Linked DNA regions of Sus scrofa. The main gene of each other region encodes a partner of the protein of the gene in region 2 in a complex. Links are inferred from orthologs where the notes say so. Each region holds a gene or a part of one and is shown on either strand. Other genes may lie near its edges.

Region 1 (5,676 bases), on a different chromosome or scaffold from region 2:
AAAGGGAAGGAAGTGGTGCGGGGGAAGGCGGGAAGAGACGCGGGCAGACCTCGTGTGGGCACCTGCACCTCGGGGTCAGCCACACCTCAGGGAGCCTGTGGAGACCGGACCCTCTCAGCCGCACTCCCTCCCCGCACCCAAACTGCCACTGCCCGATTCAGCTGCCACCCAGAGTGAAAACGACCTCCCCTCCTGCTGCGCTCCTCCCTGCCTGAGTGGTCCTTCTGTCTAGTCCTGGATCCCTCTGCCCCAACTCTTCACCCCAGGGGCTTTTCACTTCTCTCGACCTTCACCCGCCCGGAGCAGCGGGCACTCTGCACAGTGCGCTCCAGCGCACACACACCTGCGTGTTTTCATCACACTGTACCTCCCCTTACCTCCTGCAAAGCTTACACAGATTTTCTTTGATGTTTTATTCTACTTTACTAAAAAGTTGCTGGTTGTAACCAAACTGAGATATTAGTAGGTCTTAACCTGCCCGGTTGAAAAAACACTGTTCTACATACCACACCCAGCGCACTCTCTCTCAAGGGCTAATCTTAAACTCCTCAGATCCTCTCCTGGTCCTCGGAGGACCCGGGTCAAAGGCGCCGACGAGGCCGCTGGTCGTCCCTGCCCCGCTCTCAGGCCTCCCTTCGGCCTGGCTGGCTCCAGGCGACCATGAGCTCAGCACGTGCTAGTCTTGCTGCCTGAATCTTCCTTGTGCCTTCGGCCTGCCCGGCTCTACCAATGCTTCAGGTCACTGCCCAGAGGGCGCCTTCTCTCTGAGTCCCTAGATCAGGCGGCACCTCCACACTGCACCTTTTCCCTGTGTTTCACCCCTGCTAGACTTGCCAGGATGGACTCCCGACGCTCCTCTGCACAATCTGATTGACCAGCTTCCTCCGCCAGGCTGTGACCTCCGCAAGCGCAGTGCCTATCTGTCTTATTCACTAATCCCCCCAGGGCCTGGCACAGAGTGGGCAGCAACTCATCTTTGTGGAAGCAGGTGGGAAGGACAGCCAGCTTCCCAGGGCGGTCCCTCACCCCGTCACGCTGGTCCTTGTGCCGGGGCCGGGAGCAGTCATCAGTTTCCATGCTGTCCTTGTCCTCTGCAGCACTGCCCGATGCCAGGCTGTGGCGGGTCTGGTCGAAGAGTGCAATTACTTCTTCCTGGAGGGTCTCGCAGACGTTCAGCACCAGCTGGGAGTACTGGGGGATGTCACTCACTGCAAGCAGACAGGGAGGGGCGCGGTCACGCCGCTCACCAAGCTGTCCATCCCAGGCCGGCCGCTGGGAGTGCGGCGTGCTAGGAGGGGCCGTGCTGTCCTGTCCCGTGGGAGGGGAGGAGAGAGAGTTTTCCAGCAGACAAGAGTTCCACGATGGAAAACCCAAGCCTCACAGGCGAAATGTCTGGCTCTAAAGCGGAGGGAGCTCTGCCCGCGCCGGCTGGCAGCAGGGGCAAGGAGACCACTCGGCCCACTCCCCGCTGGCCCCCACCGGCCCCCACCTCTCATCTCCTTCATCTGCAGCACCGTGATGAACGCTGAGAACACCTTGGCCTTGGTCTTCTCCATGAGCTGCTGGTCTGCCTGCAGCACTCCCTCCAGGATCTCCGTCAAGGGTCCGAGGATTTCATCCACAGAGCCTAACTCTCTAGAAACAGCACGGAGAGGAGGGCGGGGGCACACCTCGCAGAAAGGCCACAAGGACGCCCGCGGGGCAGCGGGCCTCACAGGGGGTCCTTCAGGCCCCGTGGCGGAAAGCCAGCCCTCCTCGCGCCCAGTAAAGAGGATGAGAGGCCAGCCCACCCGGCAGAGGGCTCACCTCTTCCACTGCCGGAGGAGGATAAGGAGCAGAGTGCACATCATGGAGCCCAGGCGGAGGCAGGTCACGGAGGCGGGCACCAGGAGCTGAGGAGACAGCACATGGGGTAAGTCAGCTTCCCGCGAGCTGGCGAGGTCTGAGCTCCATCCACAGGCACCTTCGGCTTCAGGCCTTCCTGCAGCAAGCTCACAGGGGTGGGTCACAGGAAGAGGCCGGGGGCTGGCACGGCGGCAGCTGACCTCCGCCTCCCCGACCTGACCGCGGTGCGGCTGCAGACCTGTGAGCTGCTATCTGACCTCGGAGGCCTTCTCCCCGGGAGGCACGAGAAACCTCCCAGACACACTTACTAACGCTTTGGTGCCATCGAGCACGTCCAGAAAGAGCCGGCGACGCACTGCAGAGTCGGTCAGGTGCATTATCTCCGCCTGCAGAGGGCCAGGCGGAAACGTCCGTCAGACTTTGGAAGCCAGGAAAGGGGGACCCTCTGTCTGCCATTCGTCACTGTCTCCCCGATTCGAACGGGGCTCGAGGGCCCTGCTGTTTCTCTGCTGCCCTTAGACATGATCAGAACCAAGCCCAGGTTCGCCTCCTCCTCCTCCTCCTGACCATCCTCCCTCTGCTCAGACCCTCGGGGCTTCCCAGGGGAACCCTTCTGGAAAACAAACTCCCCTGTGAAGCCTGGGAGTCCCCTAGGAGCTGGTCACCCCGCTGTGCTCACCCTGCTCCAGCCCTACTGGCCGCCTCCCTCCTCTGTGAACAGGCCGAGCTCTTCCCACTTCTGGAGCCTGTGACTCCGCCTGCCTGGACCCCCTCCCCTACGGGCTCTCTGCCTAGAAGGCTCCTTGCACGTCAGGTCTCAGGGCGGACATCACCTCCCCAGAGGGGGCCTCCCGACCCCTCCTGTCCCCCTCCGGCGTCACTACCACATCACCCCGGTTCCCCTCACGGGGAACCAGCACAATCCCAACCTCTGTGTCTTGGTAAGTTTGTTGATAATTTGCTTCTCTCATGAGCCACTCTCCATGAGAGCACAGACCTCATCTGCCTGGTTCACTACAGCCACCCTGGTGCCTGGCACATGGTAAGCATCCCATTAATATCCAATGAATGAATGAACGATCAATGTCCTAGACGGAACCAGACAGGTTTCTTCGGGGAAAAGAGGACAGTAGGCTTCTTAGAGCTACAATTCAAGAAATGCTGCCCAGGTAGGGCCTAAAAAGCAGGTGACACACAAGTTATTCCCTGGCGAATCAATCATTGCCCAAAGATGGCTAAGACCTCTGGTATGTCTATAGCCTCAGGGGTCCAAAACCACTATGCCACAGCCAGCCTCCAAGGCTGTGGGCAGGCTGGCACAAGGGACAAGTCACAGAAGATGTAAGAGTGTGCCTGGAACAAAGGGCATCTATCAAGCTGAAGTTATCAATGAAATCAGGATATTAATCTGGACTCTCTAGGGAAAAACACGTTAACACCAAGTCCTTATCACACAGCATGATGCGCGTGCACATAAGTGCACACACACGCGCGCGCACGCGCGTGCACACACATACACAAAGCCAAGGCAAAATGCAAATTCCCCCTCTCTCTAGAGAGTGCTGCTGCAGCTGTTAACAACTACCTGCTGACTGGCTAACAAATATTTGCCCAGTGTCCACAGGCCCAGAGCATGAGAAGGCAATTCTCCCTGTGCACGAGAGGGAGGCGAAGGGTGGGAGCCGAGACCTACCCAGGACCGCACAGGTGGCTGCAAGAGGCTTTCATGAGTGTCTGAAGGGATTTAAAATGACTTCTCTGCACTTTCCTTAAGGGTCTCTTGTTGGACCCAATGCCCTCAAATATTCCACATTTGGCACAGAACCTGTGACATTTTAGTCTCAGAGAAAAATCCTGATTCATTCTTTATCCCAAGGGGCTCTGTCTGGCAGGCAACCCAGCACACCGTTGCTAGGCTGCCGACACGCAACCTCGCCCCAGGAGGTTCTTACGTGACTGGCGGCGATGATGAGAAACATCCTCCAGGCAGAGACCAGCATCTGATACTCCAGCAGGGAGGTGCAGCTGCTGCCCTCCGTGTCGGCCGTGTGAACCGCCAAGGACTTGACATACCCCGACCAGTAGGCAAAGCGTTTCTCGCTGGAAAACTTCTTGAGTGTATCTTTTAATGACTGGTCTAAGGAGCCCCTAGAGTGTTGAGAAAAAACACAACCTCCAGTTAGGTTTGAAAAGTAGGTGGGAATGCGACGGGCCCAGACCCTGCAGAGGCAGAGAAAGCAACCTCACATGGGCTTAAAGGCAGCCGGCTCCGGATCAGCTCACACTTCTGGCTCAACATAATGGGTTAGGCTGAGGCCTTTTCCAGGATTCCTCCTCCATAAAATCCCGAGCACATGGAGTTTGCTTCACAATAACTTTCGAACAATAAACGCCATCAATGGACTGGCCAGGGACACAGAGCAGTGGCCCTCCATAAATGGCTCCAAACCAGCTCTCTCCTCGCCGTGGCTCATACAGCCACGCACTTTCAGTGTAGACTACCACGGCCCCCCGCACACACCTTTCATGAAAACCTCCAAAGGGGAAAGGACTCACTTAACTACATAGTAAATCTCCAAGCAAATTATCTTCATGATTAGGGCGCAGGTTTCCAGGATGCTGGGCTGTGAGGGGAGAGCAGAGCAAACAGCAACGTGAGAAGCCTGTCCCTGGCGCCCCTCCCCCGAAGGGACCGGAGCAGGGACCCCACCCTTAGGAAGCAAGGAAGCACCCGCCCTATGGAATGCGAGTGGGCATCTGACTCGAAAGACCAGAAGGGTCAGGTCCACAGTGTCTCCAAATGGGTGGAGGCGACCACGGAGCCACCAACACAGAGCAGGGCGTGCTACTTTCCTTCCCGCGGCAAGACACCAGGGGACAGGAAGCAGGCCCTTCTCTGAGAAAGAAGCTGCTAGAGAAGCAAACATTCTGACTGATGAGAGAGGTGTCGCTGCCTACAGTTCAGCCTCACAGTCTGGCCTTCCAGTCCCCGGCCCTCCCGCCCCGCAGCTCACCTCGGATGTTTCGGAGGGAGGAGACAGGGTCCCGAACAGGGGGCTGGTTAAATTCTCCCAAAACTTGGGTCTGAAAAGAAAACACATGTTGGAAACCAGGCTTTCGCTCACCCAGCCCTTTGCTCCCCTCTCCGCCTCCCCTTGGTGGCCTCTTCTCCACGTTCTATCAGTCACGGCCTAACTCCTGGCGCTTGGTACCTGCTTGTACACAAACGCAAAGGGTGCCCTGGATAAAATCAGGTTCACCTCTTAAGAAACACGACTGTATGTTACAGAGTTAACCAACAAGAGCGCTCACGACTCGGAGTTCCCGTCGTGGCTCAGTGGTTAACAAATCTGACTAGGAACCGTGAGGTTGCGGGTCGGGTCCCTGGCCTCGCTCAGTGGGTTAAGGATCCGGCGTTGCCGTGAACTGTGGTGTAGGTCGCAGATGTGGCTCGGATCCATGTTGCTGTGGCTGTGGCGTAGGCCGGTGGCTACAGCTCCGATTAGACCCCTAGCCTGGGAACCTCCATATGCCATGGGAGCAGCCCAAGAAAAGGCAAAAAAACAAAACAACAAAAAAAGAGCTCTCATGACTCATACATTTCCGACAGTCCCACGGAAAAGAACAGCAGGCCCTCGCGTCTGGCCTTTTCATGTTCCTTCGCTCCGTGCAAACAGGGGCCAAGAGACCAGCGGGTTCCACTCAGTTCAACGGCTGGAGCAAAGCCACGCTCATCTCAGTCTCCTGCTTCCCAAGAGCACTGGTTTTGGGGCCTGGCAGTAGGCGGGAATGTAAAAAGGTGGGAACTCTTAGGTAAGCACATCAGAGTAA
Region 2 (5,676 bases):
CCCTGTCCCAGGAACTTTCACATGAAGCAGGTGCAACCGAAAAAGGTGGGGAAAAAAAAATTACTAAATAAAATGCAGTATTTCTAGCACATCTGAAATGAAATCTTCCCAGAAAAAAAATCTTCCCCAGAGTAGAGAGTCATCCCTGTGAGCCTAAAGGATGGGTAAAAATGAACAAACCTGCTACAATTCAGTTAGGCATTTTCTCAGCATCAACACCGCACAGGTTTCCGGCTTGCTTCTAGCATTTGTCATCATCTTTTGCCCCCAAATAATGCACATTTGTCCACATCAAATGTGTATTATTTAATGAGGTGAGAATTATAAACACAAACACAAAATCTCTACTCTGAAACCAGCATTTGCTGACTAGACTCGACCAAAAGTTCAATAAAATAAAAGTCACCACAGAATACATTCAAATTGAAAAATAAAATTATCAAATGCTATCCCAAGAGTTCTTGCAAAGGCCACAGAAAAGATATCTGGTTCAAAAAAATTTTTGGTAAAAGAACCCAAAAGAAACTCCACAAAACGACCACCAAAGTTTTTGTGGGCTGCTTTGGGCAAGTTCTCCAAGAATGTGATCAATAAACACTGTCGAGTCATCTGTCAATGAAGATACAAGTACAAACAGAACAAACAGAAACAGTTGCTTGTGTTTATTTTCAACTTTTAAAAAGGTTTGTCAATTTGTGCGCAAAGTAGGTGTGGTTCCTAGCACCAGACAAAAAGCAAGGTACCTTGAGACACTTTCCCTCCAAATCACGTCAACGTGTTCTTTGGAATCTCTCTTCTGACCACTGTTAACCTTTATAAAAAGGTTCTCTTCTACTAACACTTGACCTTCACTATGAGTTAACACTAGAACAAAAAGTATTTCATAATTTTTTATTGATGGCATTTATCCCATGGTTTAACATGTTAATTATACTGTAATAAACATGGCTTTAATATTAAACTTTTCCTTATTATCCAAAGTCACCACAGTCCATTTCAGTAAATATAAAAATATATGCTTAATACTTTGTACAATACTGGTTTTTGGTCCAAACAAAACTGGATCAGAAAAGCCAATAAATTCACTTTAAGAATCCCCAATTTTTTTTTAAAGATTTCCAAATGGATTTAGGCAACTTTGAATAATGGGATTTACATAATAAAATCTGAGACAAGACTAAACAAACAACAAAAAAATTTTCTAACACAAAATTAAAATTTCAAGTTCACAGATTTATGTTATGCCAAAAAAGTACAGAAACAAAATTGTATTTACACAAGTTTCATAATAAAATAATGAAAAAGGCAAGACAGGTGATAGTCGGAAGAATGACAATATAGAAATAGCATATAATTATTAAATGGAGAACGAACTAGATCTAACAAGTCCTTAGCATGGACCATTCTTTAATCAGGATTCCTCTATCAGAAATTTTAGTGCACGATACACCCAACTCACTCATTTCACACATACACCAGCACAAACTCATCAGAGAAATCATTCATTTCAAAATCCTCTAATCTATACAGAATTCCTCAGATATAATTACAATTTCAATGCGTTGTATAAACGCGTATCAACGCACGTGGTGGTGCAGATGAAGAGGTTCTATACAAAGCCATTCTCCGAGCAGACTCAATTCCTGGGTTCGGCCAGCCTAAGCCAAATCAGCGAATAATTTGCTGGATCATAAAATATTTTTGCTGAAGAGTCAGTCACCAGTCTTAGCTATTATTTTTTAAAAAGGGGGGGCAGGAGAGGTGAGGTTGGGGCTTCTATAAAGAAAAACGGAGGAAAATGCCAAAATTAAAGAAGTCCTTAGGCAGATCTAACTTCAGATGACCCAGCACATAGTACAATCCAGTATCTGAAAGCAGGGCACCAGCTGTTGTTAAAATGGTGTACAATCACCGTGACCTTTATTTCCTGCGTCTTACAGCAGTCTTTATCTTGCGACCAGAGAGTGAAGTTCCCGAAGAAGAGAATATGTTTTTCCCATTTGACCTGTGAAAAATAAAAACTTTATAATGTGACATGATGCTCAGATAAAATTCTCCAATCATAAAATTAATGTGACCAGTGATGGGGGGGCATCATCAAAGCAAACCCATTTAGTTACGCCTCACACCCTCCAACACCAACACACACACACAGATTGTTTTGTTTTGTTAAGGCTATGATCCTCTCACATTGTAATGTGGTAAACTGATGAAGAACAAACCTGATTTTACCTCAACTATCCGGCACCATGATGACGCTAAAAACAACACACAAACACACACACCTTCATGCACACATAGGCACTCTGTTAAATTCTCCATTTCCACAGAAAGTTCTCTTACCCCACAGTAAACGCCCCTGGAGACTGGTTAAATGGAAAGCCCCCTGAGCCCGAGGGCTGGGCTGAGGCTGCAGGTATGCTGGGATTTGCACCAAATGTGAACACTCCTGATGGATTGTTGTTTGTGAAGTTGAAATTTGTAGTGCTGCTACCGAACTGGAAAACGGAACCTACAACAGTTGAAGCAGAAAAACTTTATTAAGGTAAAAACGATGGTTTTTCTAGTAATGATTCTGACCCTTCATGTACAAAAACATGCAAAGGGTTAAACTCTCTTATGGTCGCTTGAAGAAAATGAAGACTTTCCTCCACTGACACAGTACATACCTGACACCCTCCGCAACAAGTCACCCAACTTAACCAACACCCAGACGAAAAGGGCAGAGCCGACTTTTGGTTAAAGACAGCAGAATCAACAAACACATTTAGCTCTAGCTTCTTCAAAAATTATGTTAAAATAACAGTAAAGGGATTTTTACAAAGATAGGGAGAGAGGGGCCAACAGCAAAAAAAAAAAAAAAAAAAAAAAAAAGCTGAAAGGCTGGCTGGGGCCAAACACTAACCTAGCAGCAAGGGGAAGCACACAAGTCATTCCATGTACACTAAGGGTACCCAAAAGGTTTAGGTTCCAGCTACGCCTGGAAGTGAGAACAAAAGAACAGCTAAAAGGAAAAAAAAAAAAAGGAAGGATGGCAGAATATCTGTTTAAGAAGCATAACCCAGGGAGTTCCCGTCGTGGCGCAGTGGTTAACAAATCCAACTAGGAACCATGAGGTTGCGGGTTCGGTCCCTGCCCTTGCTCAGTGGGTTAACGATCCGGCGTTGCCGTGAGCTGTGGTGTAGGTTGCAGACGCAGCTCGGATCCAGCGTTGCTGTGGCTCTGGCGTAGGCCGGTGACTGCAGCTCCAATTCGACCCCTAGCCTGGGAACCTCCATATGCCGCGGGAGCGGCCCAAGAAATAGCAACAACAACAACAACAACAACAAAAAAAAAGAAGCATAACCCAGACCAATCCTCCCCAAAACCAAATGGGATGCTAATTCTCCCCTACTTAGCAGAAGACAGAAGTTCAGCCTCTGGACTGGTTCACCACACATAAAAGCAAGGATACCATACTGAAAATACCAAGATTGAGAGTAGGTTGGAACAACGCATACTGGCAATCAGGAGTATATAAACCCTCAGGCAGGACTGGAAGAATCTCCTCTGGGGAATCTAAGAGTCTAAAAGGAAAGACCTAAAGACACTATCAACCAGTTCTTTGCAAGCAAATAGGCCAGTTAGATAAACCTACAATGAAATTCAAGATCTGTAAGCCTTATCCATGTTCAAAGAATTATGAAATGGTATTTCGGTGTCCTATACTCAACAAAATTACACATAGAGTGGTAGAAAATATTTGTAAGCCATTTATCTGATAAAGGGCTGATATCCAAAAATATAAGGAATTCCTACAACTCAAGACCATAAAAGCAAACAAAAGAATCCCTCAACCCACCAAATAATCCAATTAAAAAATGGGCAAAGAACTTGACATTTCTCCAAAGACGGCATACAGGTACATGAAAAGATGCTCAACCTCACTAATCTTAAGGGAGAAACGCTAATCCAGACCATCAAGAGATGTTAATTACCTCACACCTCTCAGAAAGCCTATTATTAAAAAACCGAGAATAAGTGTTGGCAAGGATGTGGAGAAAAGGGATCGCTTGGGAAGTTGGTAGGAATGTAAAGTGGTGCAACCACCACAGAAAACAGGATGGAGGTTCCACAAAAAGTTAAAGACAGGACTACCACATGACCTGGCAATCCCATTCTAGGTATTTAGCTACTTGGACTCTCTCATACACTGCAGCATTATCCACAATGGTCAAGACGTAAAAACAACCTCAATGTCCACAGACGGAAGCACAGATAAAGAAAATGGTATACATACACAAAATGGAATATTATTCATCTTGTAATATGGGAAAACTGGAGGACATACATTATGCTAAGTCAAACAAGCCAGTCACAGAAGAACAATACTGCATCATTTCACTCATATGACGTATTGAAAGTAACCAAACCCACAAACTAAGACTGGCTGCTGCAAGGGAGGGGGTGGGGGTAGGAAGAAATGAGGAGTTGCTATTTAATAGGTACCAAGTCTCAGTTATGTAAGATGCCCACCTCCCAGAGCTCTGCTGCCCAGCACTGTGCCTAGAGTTAACAGTACTGCACTGAACACTTAATCTGGTGAAAGCGTAGACAGATCTCATGTTAAACATTCTTACTACAATCTAAAAAACCCTAAATGCTGGAGTTCCCAACGTGGTGCAATGGTTAACGAATCTGACTAGGAACCATGAGGTTGCGGGTTTGATCCCTGGCCTTGCTCAGTGGGTTAAGGATCCGGCGTTGCCATGAGCTGTGGTGTAGGTCTCAGACGCGGCTCACATCCCGCGTTGCTGTGGCTCTGGTGTAGGCCAGTGGCTACAGCTCCGATTCGACCCCTAGCCTGGGAACCTCCATATGCCATGGGAGCAGCCCTAGAAAAAGGTAAAAAGACAAAAAAAAAGTAAACCAATAAAAAATAAATAAAATAAAAAACCCTAAAAACTAGTTTTGAGGAAAATATTTCATAAGAAACACTAAGACCAAAACAATAATAAAGAAATGCAATTTGGAGAAAACTAAGCAAAAGCTCTAAGAGAAAAACAAACAAAAAACAAACTGCATCACTGACACCCTCAAGAGATCAACGGGTAACTCTTTTTTTGGTCTTTTTAGGGCCACATGTGTGGCATATGGAAATTCCCAGGCTAGGGGTATCAGAGCTGTAGCTGCTGACCTACAACACAGCCACAGCAAGATGGGATCCGAGCCAAGTCTTCGACTATATACCATAGCTTACGGGAACGCTGGATCTTTAACCCACTTGAACAAGGCCAGGGATGGAACCTGCAACTTCATAGATACTAGTCAGATTTATTACTGCTGAGCCAGGAGGGGCATTCCCAACAGGTAACGCCTCTAAAACAAAAGCTGAAGGATAGATATAAAAAGGAAACATCCACAGAACAAAGAGGACCATTTGGAAATTAAAAAGTACAACTAGTGAAAGTAAAATATCAACCAATATGGTAAAAGATAAACTGAAATCTTCCCAGAAAGTACAACAAAGACAAAATGTGGGGGAAAAAAAGAACAGGAGTTTAAAAAGTATGAGAATGAGACACAAAATCTTCAAAGAAATCATTCAAGAAAATTCCCAAAAATAAATCACACAAAAGGACACACAGCATTCCTAACATATATGGATAAAAATACATCCAAACCAAGGAACATCCT
Region 3 (6,400 bases), on a different chromosome or scaffold from region 2:
ATAATTCCCTTTTTCTTCCCTTGCTTCCCTGTTCTCTATTCGACTTATCCCCTGACAAACTATATTGGGTTTTTTTTTCTTTTCGTCTTTTTTAGGGCAGTTTGGGGTCTAACCAGAGCTGTAGTCACTGGCCTACACCACAGCCACATGGGATCCGAGCTGCATCTGAGACTTACACCACAGCTCATGGCAACGTCCGGATCCTTAAGCCACTGAATGAGGCCAGGGATCAAACCCACAACCTCATGGTTCCTAGTCGGATTTGTTTCTGCTGTGCCATGATGGTAACTCTTATATTGGGTTTTTTGGTTTTTGTTGTTGATTGCCTGCCCCTCCACCAGAGGAGGAACTGTCTGCTTTGTTTCCTGCTATGTCCCCAGTCCTAAACATTGACTGGAACATACCAGGCACTCGAAAATATTTCTTAAGTAAATGAGCTTTGTATCTCTAACACAGGTCTTTCTTCTAAGCCTGAAAATTTCAATGATTTCTGGACATTGTCAAACAGCTACTACACAGATACTTCAATAGTATGTCTAAAAGAATTATTATTATTATTTTTTTTTTGGTCTTTTTGTTATTTCTTGGGCCGCTCCCACTGCATATGGAGGTTCCCAGGCTAGGGGTGCAATTGGAGCTGTAGCCACCGGCCTACGCCAGAGCCACAGCAACGTGGGATCCGAGCCGCGTCTGTAACCTACACCACAGCTCACGGCAACGCCGGATCGTTAACCCACTGAGCAAGGGCAGGGACCGAACCCGCAACCTCATGGTTCCTAGTCGGATTCGTTAACCACTGTGCCACGACGGGAACTCCTAAAAGAATTATTTACATCTCTCCCAAACCCATATTCCATATGTCAGTATCTGGTTAGTCATATGGGAAACCAGGGAGTTGTCCTTGCTCCCTTTTTCCCTCACCATTCTGTACCCCATATTCAGTCCACTACCAGGTCCTAATGAAGCTACTTTCTTTTTTTTTTTTTTTTTTTTTGTCTTTTTGCTATTTCTTTGGGCCGCTCCCGCGGCATATGGAGGTTCCCAGGCTAGGGGTCGAATCGGAGCTGTAGTCCCCGGCATACACCAGAGCCACAGCAACGCAGGATCCGAGCCGCGTCTGCAACCTACACCACAGCTCACGGCAACGCTGGATCGTTAACCCACTGAGCAAGGGCAGGGACCGAACCCTCAACCTCATGGTTCCTAGTCGGATTCGTTAACCACTGCACCACGACGGGAACTCCTGAAGCTACTTTCTAAGTGTATCTTTTTTTTTTTCTTTTGGCTGCGCCCAAGGCATGTGGATGTTCCCGAGCCAGGGAATGAACCCACACCACAGCAGTGACAACTGCTGGATACTTAACCTGCTAAGCCACATGGGAACCCGGGGGCCTGTCAGGAACTCCACGTGTATCTTGAGTCCATCTAATTCTCTTTCCCTAGCCAATCCCACAACCAGCATATCTTACTTGGTTCACCATGAAAGCAAATTCTTCTTTCATACTGTACCCATCCAATCCAAGTCTACTTTCCACAAAGTAGACTGATTATTTTAAAGTGTGACTTTGACCATGTTAGTAACACTTTAAGACTCTCCAATGACTGCTCAATGTACTTAGGATAAAAATCCCAAATCCCTGAAAAGGACCTGAGGGTTCTTCTTGATCGGAGTCCTGCTTACCTCCCTAGTCTCAGCATCACTCATATCACTTTCCATTTTGCCCAATGCACTTATGCCGCACAGAGCTTCAGTCAGTTCTTCAAATTTGTCAAGTTCTTTCCACCTTGTGGACTCTCCATTTGGTGATCCCACTTGCTAAACTGCTCTCTCTCCCAACTCCATGCCTAGCTAACCTTTCCTCCTTCAGATGAAATGTGACTTACTTCAGGCCTTCCCAGACACGCCAATTACATCTGATTTTCCCATTAGCTTCTCATACTTTTCCTCTGAGGGAAGTATGAAAAACTTCATTTACATACTTATGTGGGGTCATTAGCTTAATGGCGTTTTGGGGGTCACACCTGAGGCATGTAGAAGATCCCCGGCCAGGGAAAGAATCTGTGTCACAGCAGCAACTTGGGCTGTTGCAGTGACAATGCCAGATCCTTAACCTGTCGCACCACAAGGGAACTCCAGCTTAATGTCTTTTTCCTTCTCAAAACTGCCCCATGAAAGATGTGTCCACATCTATTCTTACACTACTATATCTTGCAGGATGAAAATGGAGACTGTTTTTGTTCATCCCTGCACTCCTAGAACACCTAGCAGTGCTTGACATGTAAAAACTCAAGACTAATTTGTAGAATGAAGGAAGCTTAAAGCACTATAAAAATATAACGGCTTCATGCTTAGAACTGATCTTTGGGGCTTTACCCTCGAAGCTACATTTCTTCTTTTTAGTGCTGCCAGGGAGGGCACCTCTTCCAGAACTCTGTGCCTGCTTAATTTTCCACTGACTCAGATATCAATAGGAAACAGTCTTTCTCTTTTCCTGTCTATAACCACTTCGGAGAATAAACGACACCTTGGGAACAGTCACGAAAATTCAGCCGCCGAACAAAACGCCCTTTCGGGAGATTTGACAAACACAGCACTTACCAATGAATGAACCTGTTTCTGGTGACGGAGAACAACTTGCCACTTTCCACGTAGTAGAAGCCTCCCGCGCTCTCACTGTATTTCACAGCTCCGGCCACTGCATTTGCAGTTCCTGCAAAAGAAGAGTGGTCACCCTTGCACACGTGGTTCTCAGGGGATGACACGGACTGAGGGCGCTGAGAAAGCAGAGGGTGACAGACTGAAAATCCATGCAAAAAGGGGAAAAAAAGAGAAAGAAGTAGAACACTAATGAAGCTCTGAATCCGGGGCTGGAGGCATGTGGGCTCAGGAGGATGAACTGGAGGACAGAGATTTAGGGATCCACGGGAAGATCCCGAGGGCAGGAGCTGCATCGAGCCCTACTGGATGCTTCCGTACCAATGTCGCAAACTGCGAATTCCCGAAAGTGCCTTGGCCTTTCGCGCTCAGCTCCGCTGAGCTCTACGAAGCTCCGTTCCATGGCTCCCGCCGCCGCCATCTTCCCGCCGCCGCCGCCGCGAGGCCTGACGGGACACCAGCCCAGCCGGGCGGCTGTCGTCACTTCCGGGGGCGGAGCAAGCACAGATGCGGACAGGTGAAGAAACCCGGAAAGGTCTAGGGCCTGTCCGACCCACCGTTGTGAGGCTTCCACCGAGCTGGCCGGAGACAGGGTGGGCAAGGAGGAAGCCAGATGAGAGGAGGCAGGGGGAGCTTGCAGGATCTACCTGCAGGAACCTTTGCGTGTCCGGCGAGGAAGCCCCAAGGGGCGGTGCCATTTTCCCGGCGGCCTCAGGGAAGGGGGCGGAGCCGGGTTTGTTTCCATTTTAAAAACTCCGGCGCGGGCAGCGGCTGGGCAGAGCCTCCAGGGAGGGGCGAGGTCCTAGGAGGCCACGCAGATGGGCGCCATCTACTGGATTTCGAGCTTTTGATCGCCTCTCCTTGCTTCCCCGTGTTACTCAGTGAATCTCCGCCTGGTCTCCTTTTCTTCACCTTTCAGCGACGTGGGTTGGGGGCGGAGTGAAGGGCAGAGTGGCCTTTTGTGTTGGGTTTTTTCGAGAGACTGTATTCGTGTGTTCTTGTATAATGAAGCATAATGTGTTTAATTAAACATTGATGCAGTTACCTGCTTGAAGCCCCTAAATGCTACTCACTTGCATACGTGAAAGAAATTTCCTTTATCTTCCATTTGTGATCTGTTTGGAAGGTCTTGTGCTTTACCTGCATTTAGGGCAGAGTAGATGCTGGATTTGGAGGAAAATGCCAGTCTTCAAGGGGAAAGTTAGTCTAAATCTCATGTATCAACATGACAGATTAAAGACGACCACAAATTCTTTGACTTTTTCCCATCAGGAGGTGGGTCTTTGTCCCTTCCTCTGGAATCTGGGAGGGCTCTGTAACTGCTGTAACTCATTGAACACAGCAGAAGTGACTCTGTGCCAGATTAGCCTTTTAATTTTTTTTTTTTTTTTGGGTCTTTTGTCCTTTTTAGGGCCGTACCCACGGCACATGCAGGTTCCCAGGCAAGGGGTCCAATCGGAGCTGTAGCCGCCAGCCTATGCCACCGCCACAGCAACACCAGATCCGAGCCGCCTCTGCGACACCACAGCTCATGGGAACGCCAGATCCTCAACCCACTGAGCGAGGCCAGGGACCTAACCGGAAACCACATGGTTCCTGCTCATATTTGCTTCCGCTGCACCAGGACAGAAACTCCCAGACTAGCCTTAACAGAGTCTGTTTCTCTCTTGGAGTGCTAACTAGGAGGGAAGCCATCTAATAAATTCAGCTATCCTGGGGTTGCCATCCTGGAGGAATCATGGGGAGAGACCACATGGAAGGGCTCTCAAGTTACTTAAAGTGAGAGATGTCTGGTGAGAGAGTCAAAAGTCACTAAGTTTGGGGTAATTTGTTAGCCAGCAATAGATATCAGGAACATTCTCTTGTCTTTCCTTTACATTCATACTTTTCCTCAACAGTCTTCCACATTTCATTCTTAGATAATGGAAACAACTCCAGTTGATCTTATTTTGCTGTTGTTCTCCCTGCCTCTCCATTTTACAAATACACTCTAACTGTTCCTAAACACCACTTACATTTTGTTTCTTCTTGTTTCACAAAATACTATATGCTGGGTGGCTTAAACAGCTAACACGTACTGCACACAGTTTTGGAGCCTGGGAAGTCCAAAATCAAGAGACCAGCAGATTCAGCGTCAGGTGAGAGTCAGCTTCCTGATTTATAGACAGCCATCTCTTGTGCCGTGTCCTTAAATTGTGGGGATTTTTTTTGTTGTTGGTTTGTTTTTGCTTTTTTATGGTTGCACCTGTGGCATATGGAAGTTCCCAAGTTAGCGGTCCAATTGGAGCTGCAGCTGCTGGCCTACGCCACAGCCGCAACAGTGCCACATCCAAGCTGCATCTGCGACCTGCACCACAGCTCATGGGATAAAGTGGGTCCTTAAACCCACTGAGCAAGGTCAGGGATTGAACCTGCACTCTCATGGGTACTAGTCAGACTCTTAACCCACTGAGCCATGATGGAAACTCCCTGTAGGGTCTTTTTTTAATAGGGCACCAATCCCTTTTTCGTGAGGGCTCCACCCTCACAATTGAATCCCTTGGGATGGTAATTTATAATAAGAACATTATATTTGGTCTTTGTCCCTCTTCCTGTCACAGAGAACCTGAAACTCTTGTAATTCCCTTAGTGATAAGAGGATGACTATCCTATGTTATGTTAATGAAGTCATTTTTGGAAAGTTTCTAGGTAACCTGAGGTTGGGGGCGGGGGCAGTGATTGCCAGGGGAAACAACCACTTGATTAGAGGTTTGGAACTTTTAGCCCTACCACCCCAACCTTTGGAGATTAAGTTCAGTTAACAGTGGCCAATAATTTAATCAGTCTTGCCTCTGTAATGAAGCCTCCAAAAAGCCAGAAGGATGGGGTTGAAAGCTTCCAAGTTGATGAACCAGAATACATCTATGTGCCAGGCCCTAAACTCCATGGAATAGAAGCTCCTGCATTTGGAAACTTGCCTTACGTATCTTTTCATCTAGCTATTCATTGTATTCTTTAATTCCTTTTCTGATAAATTGGTAATCCAAAAAAATAACCTGGTTTCTTGAGTTCTGCGAGCTGCTCTAGCAAATTTACCAAACCCGAGGAGAGCATTGTGGGAACCTCTGATTTATAGCCAATCAGAAGCAAAGGTGAACACCTGGACTTGTGATTGGCATCTGAAGTGGGGGCAGTCCTGTGGGTCAGCCCTTAACCCACACAATCTGAAGTCAGAATTGAATTAAACTTGTGGAACGCCCGGTCACTATCCATGGGGAATTGAGTTAGCTACTTGTTAGTGCAGAACAAACCCACACACGGGACCTCCTCAAAGCCCCACCTTCAAATACCATCATATTAAGTTCAACAGTTTCATCTGGGGAGAGTGGGTAAACATTCAGTCTATAGCACTTCTTAAAAACTTTCAGGGACTCCTGGTGCCCTGATTTTCAAAGTCTTTGTCCCTAATTAACTTTTCTTCTTTTAATTTCTGCAGCTTCTTGAAGGAGAAGCCCTTTTTTGGTCCCCACTATATACTGCTGTCTTCATACAGCGGGAGTCCTAACCTGAATCCAAGTGAGAGTCAGTCCTGTCTGAGCACATCTGTCAAACTGGTGCTGATGGACATGCCAGGAGACTGAACAGAGTATGGGGAAACATTTTGCCTGAGGGGAGAAAGCACCTATTACAATCTGATGCCCTGAGACTGAGCTGTAGGTGGAGGGATCATTCTAAGTATAGCGAGATTTATCTCCCTGTCCTCTC
Region 4 (5,676 bases), on a different chromosome or scaffold from region 2:
GAGGGGCTGCCGCTTCCTTAGCACGGCAGCATCACCCCAGAGCACATGTCTTATTGGTCGGTTGTCTCCCTCTTTTCATTCAGAGCCTAGCCTGCTGGTAGTTTACTACCATGCTGTTTCCTCCACTCTGTACTTGGGATGAAATTGAGGACAGGGTAGTGAAGGGACTTGGCCAAAGCTCTCCTTTCCAAACACTGGCTGGGCTGCAGGAGCAGGTGCTGCTGGGTCTTTGGAGTCAGTTCCTATAGTTCCTGGTGGGGTGGGCTGGCGGGGGGGGGGGGTGAGGGTCAGAAGGCAGTGTGGTTGTGACCCATTCTGTCCCCCTTGGTGCAGTCAGCCATGAGCCCGGTGACCCTCCCTGCATGCGGAGGCTGAACTTTGTGAGGCTGCTCATGCTCTACACCCGCAAGTTTGAGTCCACGGACCCGAGGGAGGCCCTCCAGTACTTTTACTTCCTCAGGTTAGACTGGCTTTTGAACATTTACTTCAGCTGGTTTTGATTTCTGCCATTGTGGGAATGACAGAGTCCTTGAGGCCACACCTGAAACCAGGTTGTTTGTGTCCATTCCAGGGATGAGAAGGATAGTCAAGGAGAAAATATGTTTCTGCGCTGTGTGAGCGAGCTGGTGGTAGAAAGTCGAGAGGTATGTCTATTTCGTTTTCCACCCTCTGATTTCCAGTATACATGTTCTCAAGCTAATGTGATACCTGATGAGGTCTGAGTTTGGTGGATGTGGCCAGGAGGGCTTTGGAGTTTTCTTTGCTTTCTGACTGTGAAAATATTGATTCAGTCTCATTGTTCTTGTCTCCAAAGAATTGTGGATTATGTGTATATCCTCATTCAGTAAATTGAGTAAACTTTTTTTGTCTCTGCAGTTTGATATGATTCTTGGGAAACTAGAGAATGATGGAAGTAGAAAGGTGAGTAAAATGCACCGCTAGAGATGTGTGAATTTACAATTGGGGGTTTATAATTGTCAAAGGAATATAGTTAGATTTTGGAAGTCAAGGTACTGAAGATGCAAATTGGAATGAAGTTGCCTCTTTTTAAAAACAAAGAATGAAAATTACGGGCCCCAAACGATGGCCTTGATTTTGCGCACATTGATGTTTCTCCTTAAAATGTGTAAATTTGTGATTCGAGAGCGTTTTAAATTACGTTCAGAATACTGAATCTGTTCATGCCTGCCATTTTTTACCTGAGAAGGCTACGTTCTGCCATTCTTAATTTAGAATATATGCAAGAAAGGAATAGATTATGGCACTTACTCTCCCCAGATGGGAAAGTTAGAAATCCACTTGACCTGTCTCAAAAGGTAGTTTCCGAGGACTCAGAACCCTACACTACCCCAGAGATGCAGCTGCTGCTGTGGGCCTTAGATTCCCTGAGACCCATCATGCCTATTGGGCAATGTAGCAGAAGGGGCAGAGGCCCTGGTGTCACAGACCAGTCCTGACCCCACTCAGTCATGCTCCTTGTGGGGTCACCTGCCTCTCTCTTGTCACTGCTGTGGCTCACATTTGATTCCTGGCCCAGGAACTTATGCATGCCAAAGGTGTGACTTACAGCCAGCAATTGCAAGATGAGCTCACACCACGTACACTGTCCAGTGTAGAAGACCAGTTGGCAGTGCTGGTGACAGTGGCCATGCTTATTGAGTAGTGACAGCTGCCTGTGTTGAATGCTTAACATGAATTATCTCACCTAATTGCCACAGTAACCTAAGACAGTGGGAACCCTTATCTTTTTTCCAAGGGAGGAAGTAGAGACAAGAGAGGTTAATTATATACTCAAGGTCGTATAGCTAGTAAGAAAGGGAGCTGGAATTTGAACCCAGTCCTTTTTAACCCCAGAACCTCTTCACTGATCTCTCGAGCTGCCATCGTCGGGGGAGCAGGTCACCCTGATTGGTCCAGCTCAGATGGAGAATCAGACGGCCAATCAGACGTCACGCTATCTCCCCTCTCTCTGTGGTTCCTAAGGCCTCTCCCATAGTCTCTTGACCATTTGGTTGCAGCTGAGTGATTTTTTTTTTTTTTAAATATCCTGACACCACTTGCCATATGTTTTTTCAGGACTGGGTTTCTTTTGCCATCTGTCTTAGCAAATTCAAAATCTTTCAGATATTTTCTCTAAGCCTCCTAATTTTTTCCCCCTACTCATCAGCAAAGTTGAAATCACTGATAATTTCTCCTACTCTGGATCATTTTTTAGAAAATCAGAAAACCCAGAGTCTTATTGCTGACTCCTCTGTACCGCCTGTGAGTCTGCCTCTTCGTGTATAGTTTCTTTGGTCCTTTTCATATTTTCAAGAAAGCCAGAGTCTAGCTGATGAAATACATGCATTGCCCAGGGCAAGCATTTTCAGTTAAAGAAGTTTTCGGATCCCAGTTGCTTCTCTGTGTTTAAAATAACAGTTCTATTCCCCCGTTTCTCTCTTCCTCTCCTCCATAATTTGTTTTGTCAGCCTGGAGTCATAGATAAGTTTACTAGTGACACAAAGCCTATTATCAACAAAGTTGCTTCTGTGGCAGAAAACAAAGGACTGTTTGAAGAAGCAGCAAAGCTTTATGACCTTGCCAAGGTAAAATGTGCCCTTTCCTTCTTCTGCACTTTATAGATCTGTCAGCCTTTGGGCATTAAATGCACAAACATTTCGGAGGTGCTGTTGTTGTACCCCTCTCCCTGCTAAGGCATTTTCTCCTAGTGCTCAGGCAGTTCATGGTCCAGTCAAGGCGAAATTCCCATTTTACAGAATTGTTTCTGCCCATAAGGTATTTCTGGCCAAACAAAAGCAACATATTGAGAGGACATCCTGAAGGCCTTGAGCTGTCGTCTCACTGGCAGCAGAGTAAGCATCCATCATGTTTGGGTAGTGAAGCTACCGGTGCAGATGCCCGGTGCTCCCCCTCTGGGCAGCCGCAGACGGGCTGGTGATGGGGGTGTGCTAGGGAACAAAACAGCAGCCCAGGAGTTCTGAGAGAGCTGGAGTAAGCAGTGCTTCCTCAGAACATGCATGAACACTGATGACTCTGTGGCTTCAAGATTGCATTCTCTCCTTTTACCAACTGAGAAAAGTGGGCAAAAAGAGAGTTGTAATTCATTTTTTAAATTTAAAAATGTTTTGATTGTGGTCTGATTAAAAGGTATAAAAATGTAGTAATAGGGAGTTCCCGTCGTGGCGCAGTGGTTAGCGAATCCGACTGGGAACCATGAGGTTGCGGGTTCGGTCCCTGCCCTTGCTCAGTGGGTTAACGATCCGGCATTGCCATGAGCAGTGGTGTAGGTTGCAGACGCGGCTCGGATCCTGCGTTGCGGTGGCTCTGGCCTAGGCCGGTGGCTACAGCTCCGATTCAACCCCTAGCCTGGGAACCTCCATATGCCTCGGGAGCGGCCCAAAGAAATAGCAAAAAGACAAAAAGACCAAAAAAAAAATATATATATATATAGTTATAATCCAGTGTACCTCTTGATGGCCTTCCCAGAGGTATATATCCATGTCATCACCATCCAGTCAAGAAACAACAGAAATTCCCGCTTTTGCTTTGGTTATTTAGTTTTTTCCCTCTTACTGATTATTTTTTAATTGATTCCTCCCTTAATTTACCAAAATCGAACAGAATGCTGACAAGGTGCTGGAGCTGATGAACAAACTGCTCAGCCCTGTCGTCCCCCAGATCAGTGCGCCACAGTCCAACAAGGAGAGGCTGAAGAACATGGCGCTCTCCATCGCAGAACGGTAAGAGCCGGCTCCCAGGGGCCCTGGGGCTCCCAGCACCCACCCAGCTGCATCTTCGGCTTTACTGTAACGTCTAAGTTCCCCAGAGTGGCTCTACTGCCTCGTCACTGCACCAGCAATGAGTTCCTGATCCCCTACATCATAACCAACACTTGGTCCTGTCACTTGGTAAACATTTTTGCCAAGAAGAAGGGTATGAAAGCATTTTAATCCTACCTAATTCTAGGCATTGTACCCATCTGCATACCATTAGCAGCCATCCCAAAGGCATTTTGGAATGGAGCTAGTGATGGATGGATGGGGGAATTCTTAGAGGTGTAGTGGCCAGTGTTTCAGGATCTACTTTTATCCCCATGACTTAGCGGAGTTATCCTACTTCAACTGGTGTAACTCCCAGGCTGTGGTGACAGGCCTCACTTTCTGTGCCCTCTACAGATATACCTAGTGAAGTTGACCCAGAGAAAACTGGGTTGGAGCTGCTCACTGAAAGGGAGGCCGAATATTTATAGGTGGATTTCTATCAAGTCCACCATTAAATGCTTGACCATTTCAAAGGAAACACTATTTTCTACACCCTCGTTCATCTCATCTAGAGAGGTTTTGACATTAATCACATGCTATCCTCAAGTTATAGATTGCACCGAAATTCCTCATCTACTCATACTTCCCTTCCCTCTTTTTGTGCTTCAGGTATAGGGCTCAGGGAATCAGTGCAAATAAATTTGTGGACTCCACGTTCTATCTTCTGTTGGACTTGATCACCTTTTTTGACGAGTATCACAGTGGGCATATTGACAGAGCCTTTGATGTAAGTTTCAGGAGGGGTGTTTGAAGTGCAAGTTAATGTATGCCCTTGAAAAATGAGAATGTTTCATGGGACTCATTTAAAACAAAGGAAATGTCACTGATAGGCCTGTTAAGTGAAGAAGGACAAGTATGATCCTGGGAATTTTAAAAGGATTTCTGTGTTGCTCTTTTTTTTTTCTTTTTCTTTTTTCTATTCCTTTCTTCTTTAGTCTAAAAGCAGAATGGTTTCTCGGAGTAATTTGAAATCTCTCAATTGTGAAACTACCTCAGAAAACAAGGATAGGAATTGAGTCAGTCAGCAAGTAAGAATCAAAGCCTTTGTACTAGGGGGTAGCATTTGCTATTAAGAAGCCCGTTATGAACATGTTAGATGCTGACTATGTGTTTAAGGAAATGAAATGACTCTGATGGTTGTATCTTATGGGGATGCTGGGGTTTGTTTTAAACAGATAATTGATCGCTTGAAGCTAGTGCCTCTGAATCAGGAAAGTGTGGAAGAAAGAGTGGCTGCCTTCAGAAATTTCAGTGATGAGGTGAGTCCTTTTCTTCCTGAAATAAAAAATTCCTTTTTCCCCACTTCCACTGAAAGCTTTTGTTTTAATGTAGCCAGTCACTTTAAGAGTCCTACTGCAGTCACCGTCCACACTCAGATGAGTCCAATTCCAGGCTTCCTGGGCTGGTTTTTCTGCAAGTAAACGTATCCCCATTAGATTATTGTCTCAGAAAAGATACTTGCCTTAGTGATCAAACATGTTCTTGGGAGAAATAGGTTTTTTTGTTGATCCTTTGAGATCTGGTTTAATTCTTTATTATCCACTTGTCCTAGAGGTTATGTCAGTGATCTTATCTGAGTAGTTCCATTGGGCATAGAAACGTGCGTCATGATACACTTGCTTCCTTCCCTTCTCTGAGCTGTTTTGTCTCAAGAAGCAGGTGCAGTGACCATGGACTCACTTAGCCCCAGAGCCACCACCATCTCTGTAGGGTCTATCACATGTGTCGATGCCTAGCCCAGGGTGCTCGTCTGGGCTGCACACTGGAATTGCTAGACCTTTAAAAAAATCTTCATGCACAAGCCCAAAAATTCTGGTTTCCCTGATCTGGACTGCAGCCCAGACCTCTGCTGGGT
Region 5 (6,420 bases), on a different chromosome or scaffold from region 2:
AAATCACTTACTGCCACTATTTTGATTGCTGAGCAGTTTGAGCCTTGGATTTCTGGCCAAGATGGAATTTTTTCTATTAGTAAATGGGAAAGCTTCAAGCAGTAGATGACAAAATGAAACTGGATGATGGTGTGACTGATGGACTAAACAGAATATGAAGTGCCAGGACCCAAAACTGATAGGTAGGTAAGCTACTCATAAAGTGATGGAACCTTAACCAGGATGAGGACAGGAAAATAGAAAGGCAAGACCTGTTGGTAGAGTCCAAACTGTTAAGTGGTACAGGGTATGAAGGAAAGTTATCAAAAATGACTCTTGCAACTGTGAAACTTGCTTTACCACGGGTATTTTTTAAATCTGACAAAAGGCTGACAAAAGTAAACTGTAAAAGTAATACTTTATAGAACCTTTGAAGAATAACTTTTTTTTTTCTTGGCTACACTCACAGCATGTGGAAGTTCCTGGGCCAGGGACTGAATCCATGTTACAGATGCAACCTGTGCTGCAGCTGCAGCAAAGCTGGATCCTCAGCCCACTGTGCTACAAGGGAACTTCCAAGAATAGCTTTCTTTGGAGTTTACATACTTAGCTTGACAAAGCTTAGTGATTTCTAGAGACAATTCCACTTCTTCCCATTTATGAAGAGGCATCCAATAACACATCAAAACTATGCACAAAGGCGCTCCCACTGTGGCTCAGTTGGTTAAAAATCTGACTAGTATCCATGAGGATGCAGGTTTGATCCCTGGCCTCGTTCAGTGGGTTAAAGATCCGGCTTTCGCATAGGTCACAGATGTGGTTCAGATCTGGCACTGCTGTGGCTGTGGCATAAGCCAGCAGCTGCAGCTTCAATCTGACCCCTAGCCTGGGTGCAGCCCTAAAAAACAAGCAAACAAAAATATATATATACACATACAAAGAGCTCCCTAGTGGGGCAGTAGGTTGAGGACCTAGCATCATCATTTCGCTGGCTCAGGTCACAGCTATGGTATAGGTTCAAAAAATATTTACATATATACATTTATATACATATATTTTTTTATAATATAGGAAACTGGCCTAGCCAGGGAGGTCAGGGAAGGGAAGGAGTCACTGAGCAAGTGATGATTAGGGTGAAATGTGAAGGGAGGTGGTAGACAAACCTCTTTTCCAGTATTCTTTGTTTCTATAAAATGTGGCTACTTTCAATATGTTTCAATATCCCATCTAAGTAGAATCATCCAGTATTTGTCTTTTTGCTACTGGTTTATTTCACTTAGCAGAATGTCTTCAAGATTCATTCATGCTGCAGCATAGGACAGGGTTTCCTTTTTAAGGCTGAATAACACTCCATTGTATCTACAGACCACATTGTCTATCCATTCATTTGTCAACCGGCATTTGGGTTCCTTGCCTGGACATTTAATTTTTTAAAAATATCGTCCTGGGAGTTCCCGTCGTGGCTCAGTGGTTAACAAATCCAACTAGGAACCATGAGGTTGCGGGTTCAATCCCTGGCCTTGCTCAGTGGGTTAACGATCCAGCATTGCCGTGAGCCGTGGTGTAAGTCGCAGACGAGGCTCTGATCTGGCATTGTTGTGGCTGTGGTGTAGGCCAGCAGCTGCAGCTCCGATTAGACCCCTAGCCTGGGAACAGACAGACCAGCTTGTATCCCACATTGCTGTGGCTGTGGTGTAGAGTGGCAGCTGTAGCTCTGATTCAACCCCTAGCCTGGGAACCTCCATATGGTGCAGATGCTGCCCTAAAAAAAAAAAAAAAAAAAACTCCTGCCTGGGCTTTTAAAAATGCTTCCTGGGAGCTCCTTTGTGGCTCAGGAGGTTAAGGATCCAGTGCTGTCACCTCAGCAGCTCAGCTGGCTACTGTGGCCAGAGTTCAATCCCTCAAAAAGTTTCCTTTCTATGTGACCAATTAAATACCACTGCCAGGAGGCCTCACTATACAATGTATATATGCTTTGAAATTGCTGGCAACTCCTTTTCCTTCAATGATTTATGTTTAATGATACTAATTTAGGATGAGCATGTACTAAAGAAAAGTATATAACCACACGTATAACATGAAAACTTTGTTTTAAGTTTACATCTGGGTTAGGAGGGCAAGACAGCAAGATTAAGGAAGTAACTTCATTACTAAATTCAGGTATATGGAAATTTTATGTAATGAAATGAATTAGCTTGTGCTTCAGTAGGAACACGTTTAAGTATCATCAAAGACTGACTTTGAATCATTAACTGTATAACCCTGAAGAAGTTACTTAACCACTCTATTTCCAAATCTGTAAAATGGAGTATTTAATAGTAGCTACTCCATAGGTGGATAAAGGGGATTAAATGAGATAAAAGATAGCTCCTAGCATGGTGCCTGGGGAAAAGGAGGTGCTCAATAAACATAATCCTTCATTATTACAAAATAATTTATCATAGTGTTTCTGAAATGGTTTGATTTGCAAAAGTCAGATTTAGACACGTTTTCAAGAGTATCAGTCGTGTGAAAACAAACCAGCACACACACACACACAAAACAACAGCATAGGGAGTTCCCATCCCGGCTCAGCTGGTAACCAATCCGACTAGCATTCATGAGGACGTGGGTTCCATCCCTGGCCTGTCAGTGAGTTAAAGGATCCAGTGTTCCTTGAACTGCGGTGTAGGTCTCAGACAAAGCTCCAATCACGCAGGGTCGCTGTGGCTGCGGCACTGGCCGGCAGCCTTAGACCCTATTCGACCCATAGCCTAGAAACGTCCCTAAGCCACAGGTGCGGCCCTAAAAAGACAAAAACAAAAACAAAAAACAACAACAAAAAAAAACCAAAAAACAAAAAAACCAACTGCGTAGAGACAGAAAGAAAAGGCGCCCTAAGAAAGAGCTCTCTTTGAGTGAGATTCTTTACAAGGATTTACCTCACCGATGTGCTCTTAACTGCCCATAAAGCTTAGCATGGCTCAAACAAGACAGTGACATTCAGAGCAGGAAATTGATTTTCAGGAACGCTCCCGCCGCTGCAGCATGTCTGGCAACCTAGACCCGCCCACTAGGCGCCAGCAGAGCACCCCAGGAACCGGGACAATCAAAATGCACCCACTCTTTTAAATGCCCCCCCGCAGGGAGGGGGAGTTCCGCCCCAGATTGAGAACTGCCCAATCCAAATCTTCCAGAGTTTCTTTACAACCTTCTAGATTCTGCCCTGTCCCGAGGATCTACTGTTCCAAAGGTACAGAAGCATCCAGGGACAGGCCACAACTGCAGAGCTGGGAGTCATGGTAGTCCTCGGCCACCTTCAAAATTTCAGGCTTCATAACCAAGGAACCTCGCTTCCTGCATAACCCCCCAACCTCCATGAGCGATCCAGGTGCCTAATACAAAGTACGAGTTTCGGCATGGGCTGAAAAAAATATCTCAGGTCCCCTGACCTCATTGCTGGAAAACTACATATGAAACCTGGATCACGGACACATAATGGGGTGAGTAATGGAAGAGAACAGGCTTGGCCTTGAACTGCGAGAATTCCACGCCGGGTTCCGGTGGACCGAGCTTCCTCGCCTCGACCCTCAAAGCCCAATTCTTAACACCCGCAGAGCCGACGCGCGCCATTCAAACTGGGGAGGAGCGGGAATCTAGGCTCCCGGCTGGAGAGAAGCGGGCACTGTGCACAAATGGGGGACTGGACTCCGAGGAACCCCACAGCCCGGGTCTCTCCCTTAAGAACCGATCAGCACCTTGCCCCACAATTTGCCTTCTGCCCCGGCCGCACCTACCTGAATTTACCGCCAACAGCGTCGCCATGTTGGAAGCGCACTAACGGAGCCCTCCTGCCGCACGGAAGCCCCAGAAAAGGGCGAGGCTGCCTGGGGCGATGCCTGAACATAAAGGTACCACGCTGTCTCCTTCCTACCGCACGCTCTACCGAGCTTGTCTTACAAATACTCGAAAATCTACTCTGAGCCACAGACGTCAATTTTCGCCAGGATTATTCCCATTCAAATAAGGCGAGGGCAACCAGTTCGGCGACGCGAGGTCCTCGTGTTGACGATGTCGTGCAATGCATGCTGGGGAGTGTAGTTTTTTTTTTCTTATAAGGACTAAAGTTGGTTAGGTGGTACAGAAAAAGATTAGTTTCTGAAATGATGCCCACTTATGATATTATGAAAGCCATAAATTCCAATCATTGTCTATATGTCAAATTAAATCGTTGCATTACTCCTTTACTTTGGAGAGTGGAGTGGGGTGAAAGATAGATAAACTTCAAAAAGCCATTTAATTTGTTACAAACTAGATTTTCATTGCATTTCGTGTATATGTATATACCAAGTGATTTGCATCAACATAGTTACATACAGTGAAACAATCATAACCTTTTATTATTAAAATTTCAAGTGTAGGGAGTTCCGGTCATGGCTCAGCGGTTAATGAATCTGACTAGGAACCATGAGGTTGCAGGTTCAATCCCTGGCCTCGTTCAGCAGGTTAAGGATCCGCTGTTGCCCGTGAGCTGTGGTAGGTCGCAGATGAGGCTTGGATCCCACACTGCTGTGGTGTGGCTGTGGCAGGCAGCTGTAGCTCCTATTTGACCTCTAGACTGGGAAGCTCTATATGCCACACCTGTGGCCCTAGAAAAGACAAAAAAAGAAAAAAGAAAAAAATTTTCAAATGTATGCAAAGTTAGAATAATGAATGTCCAGGGAAAAAAAAAAAGGATAATGAATGTCCAGCTTCACTAGCTGGTCAATTCCTCTATCCCACCTCCAACATGAGAAATTACTTGGAAGCAATTTCCAGACAAATCATTTCATAAACACCAAATATTTGTTCACCTGAGCACCCCTAAATAATTGGCCCTCTTTTTTTTACTTGCTAAATTTTAGTTTGCTAATTTCTTTTCTTTTCTTTTCTTTTTAGGGCCACACCAATGGCATATGGAAGTTCCCAGGCTAGGGGTCAAATTTGGGCTACCACTGCCGGCCTACACCACAGCCACAGCAACGCAGTCGTGTCTGCAACCTATACCACAGCTCACCACAACACTGGATCCCCCACCCACTTATCAAGGCCAGGGCTAGAACCCACATCTTCATGGATACTAGTCGGATTCATTTCCACTGTAGAGCAATGGGATCTCCTCGTTCGCTATTTTTAAACTAAAATATAGTCATTACTATGTGCTACCATATGCCAGATATTTATTAAGAATTTTACATTATCTTATAATGTTGATGTTGTTATTATATTATCTCATTCAATCCCTGAAACAATCCTACAATCCTATCAGAGATGTTCCATGTACCTTACAACCTCATTTTATCAACTCTTCCGATATTCCACTGAGATTGGGAGAAAATAGTTTATGTTCCCATTTCACTGTTAGAAATTGGAGTTAAATAATTTAGACAGAATCACAAAGTATGTTGTTAAGAGCAGGAGTTCCCATCGTGGCGCAGCAGCAACGAATCCGACTAGGAACCATGAGGTTGTGGGTTCAATCCCTGGCCTCGCTCAGTGGGTTAAGAATCCAGTGTTGCCGTTAGCTGTGATGTAGGTTGCAGAGGCGGCTTGGATCTTGGTGTTGCTATGGCTGTGGTGTAGGCCGGCAGCAACAGCTCCGATTAGACCCCAGCCTGGGAACCGCCATATGCCGCCAGTGCGGCCCTCAAAAGACAAAAAAAAAAAAAAAAAAAAGGAAGCATACATATAGTCATTCTTTTGAACAAATAATATTAAGTGACACAATGTACCTTAGGTAAAACACAAAAGTCACTGGTGATTTTTTGAAAGTGGTTGTTATATAGAGACAAATGCCAGATTACAATGAAAGCGGTTTTAAAGAGTGAAGAGGGAAGTTCCCATTGTGGCTCAGCAGTCTAAGAATCTGACTAGTATCCATGAGGATTTGGGTTTGATCCCTGGTCTCCCTCACTGGGTTAAGGATTTGGTGTTGCTGTGAGTTGTGGTGTAGGTCACAGATGTGGCTCAGATCTGGCATTGCTGTGGCTGTGGTGTAGGACAGCAGCTGCAGTTCGGATTCAACCCCTAGCCTGGGAACCTCCATATGCCAAAGGTGCAGCCCTAAACAAACAAACAAAAAAGAGCAAAGAGGAAGAAAGAATGAAAAGGCAGAGGGATTTTCCCCAAAGACTGGCATGAGAGTGAGAAGAATATTGAGCAGAAACTGGCAGGAAATAGCATTCAAACGTTTTCTTTCTCAGAGCAACCATTATGAGCCTTCACCACATATACTCTTAAACCTACACACTTCCCTCTCGGAAGATCCCAGGTTAGGGGTTGAATCAGAGCTGCAGCGGCCAGCCTGCGCCACAGCCATAGCAGTGCCAGATCCAAGCCACATCTGTGACCTAGAGCACAGCTCACGGCAAGGCAGGATTTTTAACCACAAAATGAGGCCAGGGATCGAACCAGTGTCCTCAT

The links.
Region 1: NUP153 (region 2) and NUP188 share a complex: the UniProt entries of both Homo sapiens proteins name them as parts of the nuclear pore complex. The link is inferred for Sus scrofa from reciprocal best matches to the Homo sapiens genes NUP153 and NUP188.
Region 3: NUP153 (region 2) and NUP160 share a complex: the UniProt entries of both Homo sapiens proteins name them as parts of the nuclear pore complex. The link is inferred for Sus scrofa from reciprocal best matches to the Homo sapiens genes NUP153 and NUP160.
Region 4: NUP153 (region 2) and NUP93 share a complex: the UniProt entries of both Homo sapiens proteins name them as parts of the nuclear pore complex. The link is inferred for Sus scrofa from reciprocal best matches to the Homo sapiens genes NUP153 and NUP93.
Region 5: NUP153 (region 2) and NUP205 share a complex: the UniProt entries of both Homo sapiens proteins name them as parts of the nuclear pore complex. The link is inferred for Sus scrofa from reciprocal best matches to the Homo sapiens genes NUP153 and NUP205.

What each region holds. Positions count from the first base shown.
Region 1 is NC_010443.5:269,303,343-269,309,018, reverse strand, and holds part of NUP188 (nucleoporin NUP188 homolog), read right to left. Parts: intron 4,930-5,676; coding exon 4,860-4,929; intron 4,470-4,859; coding exon 4,402-4,469; intron 3,994-4,401; coding exon 3,798-3,993; intron 2,232-3,797; coding exon 2,154-2,231; intron 1,893-2,153; coding exon 1,807-1,892; intron 1,636-1,806; coding exon 1,490-1,635; intron 1,209-1,489; coding exon 1,027-1,208; intron 1-1,026. UniProt on the Homo sapiens protein: Component of the nuclear pore complex (NPC), a complex required for the trafficking across the nuclear envelope. Required for proper protein transport into the nucleus.
Region 2 is NC_010449.5:13,392,894-13,398,569, forward strand, and holds the end of NUP153 (nuclear pore complex protein Nup153), read right to left. Parts: intron 2,513-5,676; coding exon 2,344-2,512; intron 2,006-2,343; coding exon 1,921-2,005; 3' UTR 649-1,920; downstream 1-648. UniProt on the Homo sapiens protein: Component of the nuclear pore complex (NPC), a complex required for the trafficking across the nuclear envelope. Functions as a scaffolding element in the nuclear phase of the NPC essential for normal nucleocytoplasmic transport of proteins and mRNAs.
Region 3 is NC_010444.4:14,837,391-14,843,790, reverse strand, and holds the start of NUP160 (nuclear pore complex protein Nup160), read right to left. Parts: upstream 3,736-6,400; coding exon 3,730-3,735; intron 3,300-3,729; coding exon 2,978-3,299; intron 2,712-2,977; coding exon 2,600-2,711; intron 1-2,599. UniProt on the Homo sapiens protein: Functions as a component of the nuclear pore complex (NPC). Involved in poly(A)+ RNA transport.
Region 4 is NC_010448.4:18,818,587-18,824,262, forward strand, and holds part of NUP93 (nuclear pore complex protein Nup93), read left to right. Parts: intron 1-333; coding exon 334-460; intron 461-571; coding exon 572-644; intron 645-876; coding exon 877-921; intron 922-2,468; coding exon 2,469-2,585; intron 2,586-3,621; coding exon 3,622-3,740; intron 3,741-4,430; coding exon 4,431-4,548; intron 4,549-4,996; coding exon 4,997-5,080; intron 5,081-5,676. UniProt on the Homo sapiens protein: Plays a role in the nuclear pore complex (NPC) assembly and/or maintenance. May anchor nucleoporins, but not NUP153 and TPR, to the NPC. During renal development, regulates podocyte migration and proliferation through SMAD4 signaling.
Region 5 is NC_010460.4:13,773,749-13,780,168, forward strand, and holds the start of NUP205 (nuclear pore complex protein Nup205), read right to left. Parts: upstream 4,026-6,420; 5' UTR 3,784-4,025; coding exon 3,756-3,783; intron 1-3,755. UniProt on the Homo sapiens protein: Plays a role in the nuclear pore complex (NPC) assembly and/or maintenance. May anchor NUP62 and other nucleoporins, but not NUP153 and TPR, to the NPC.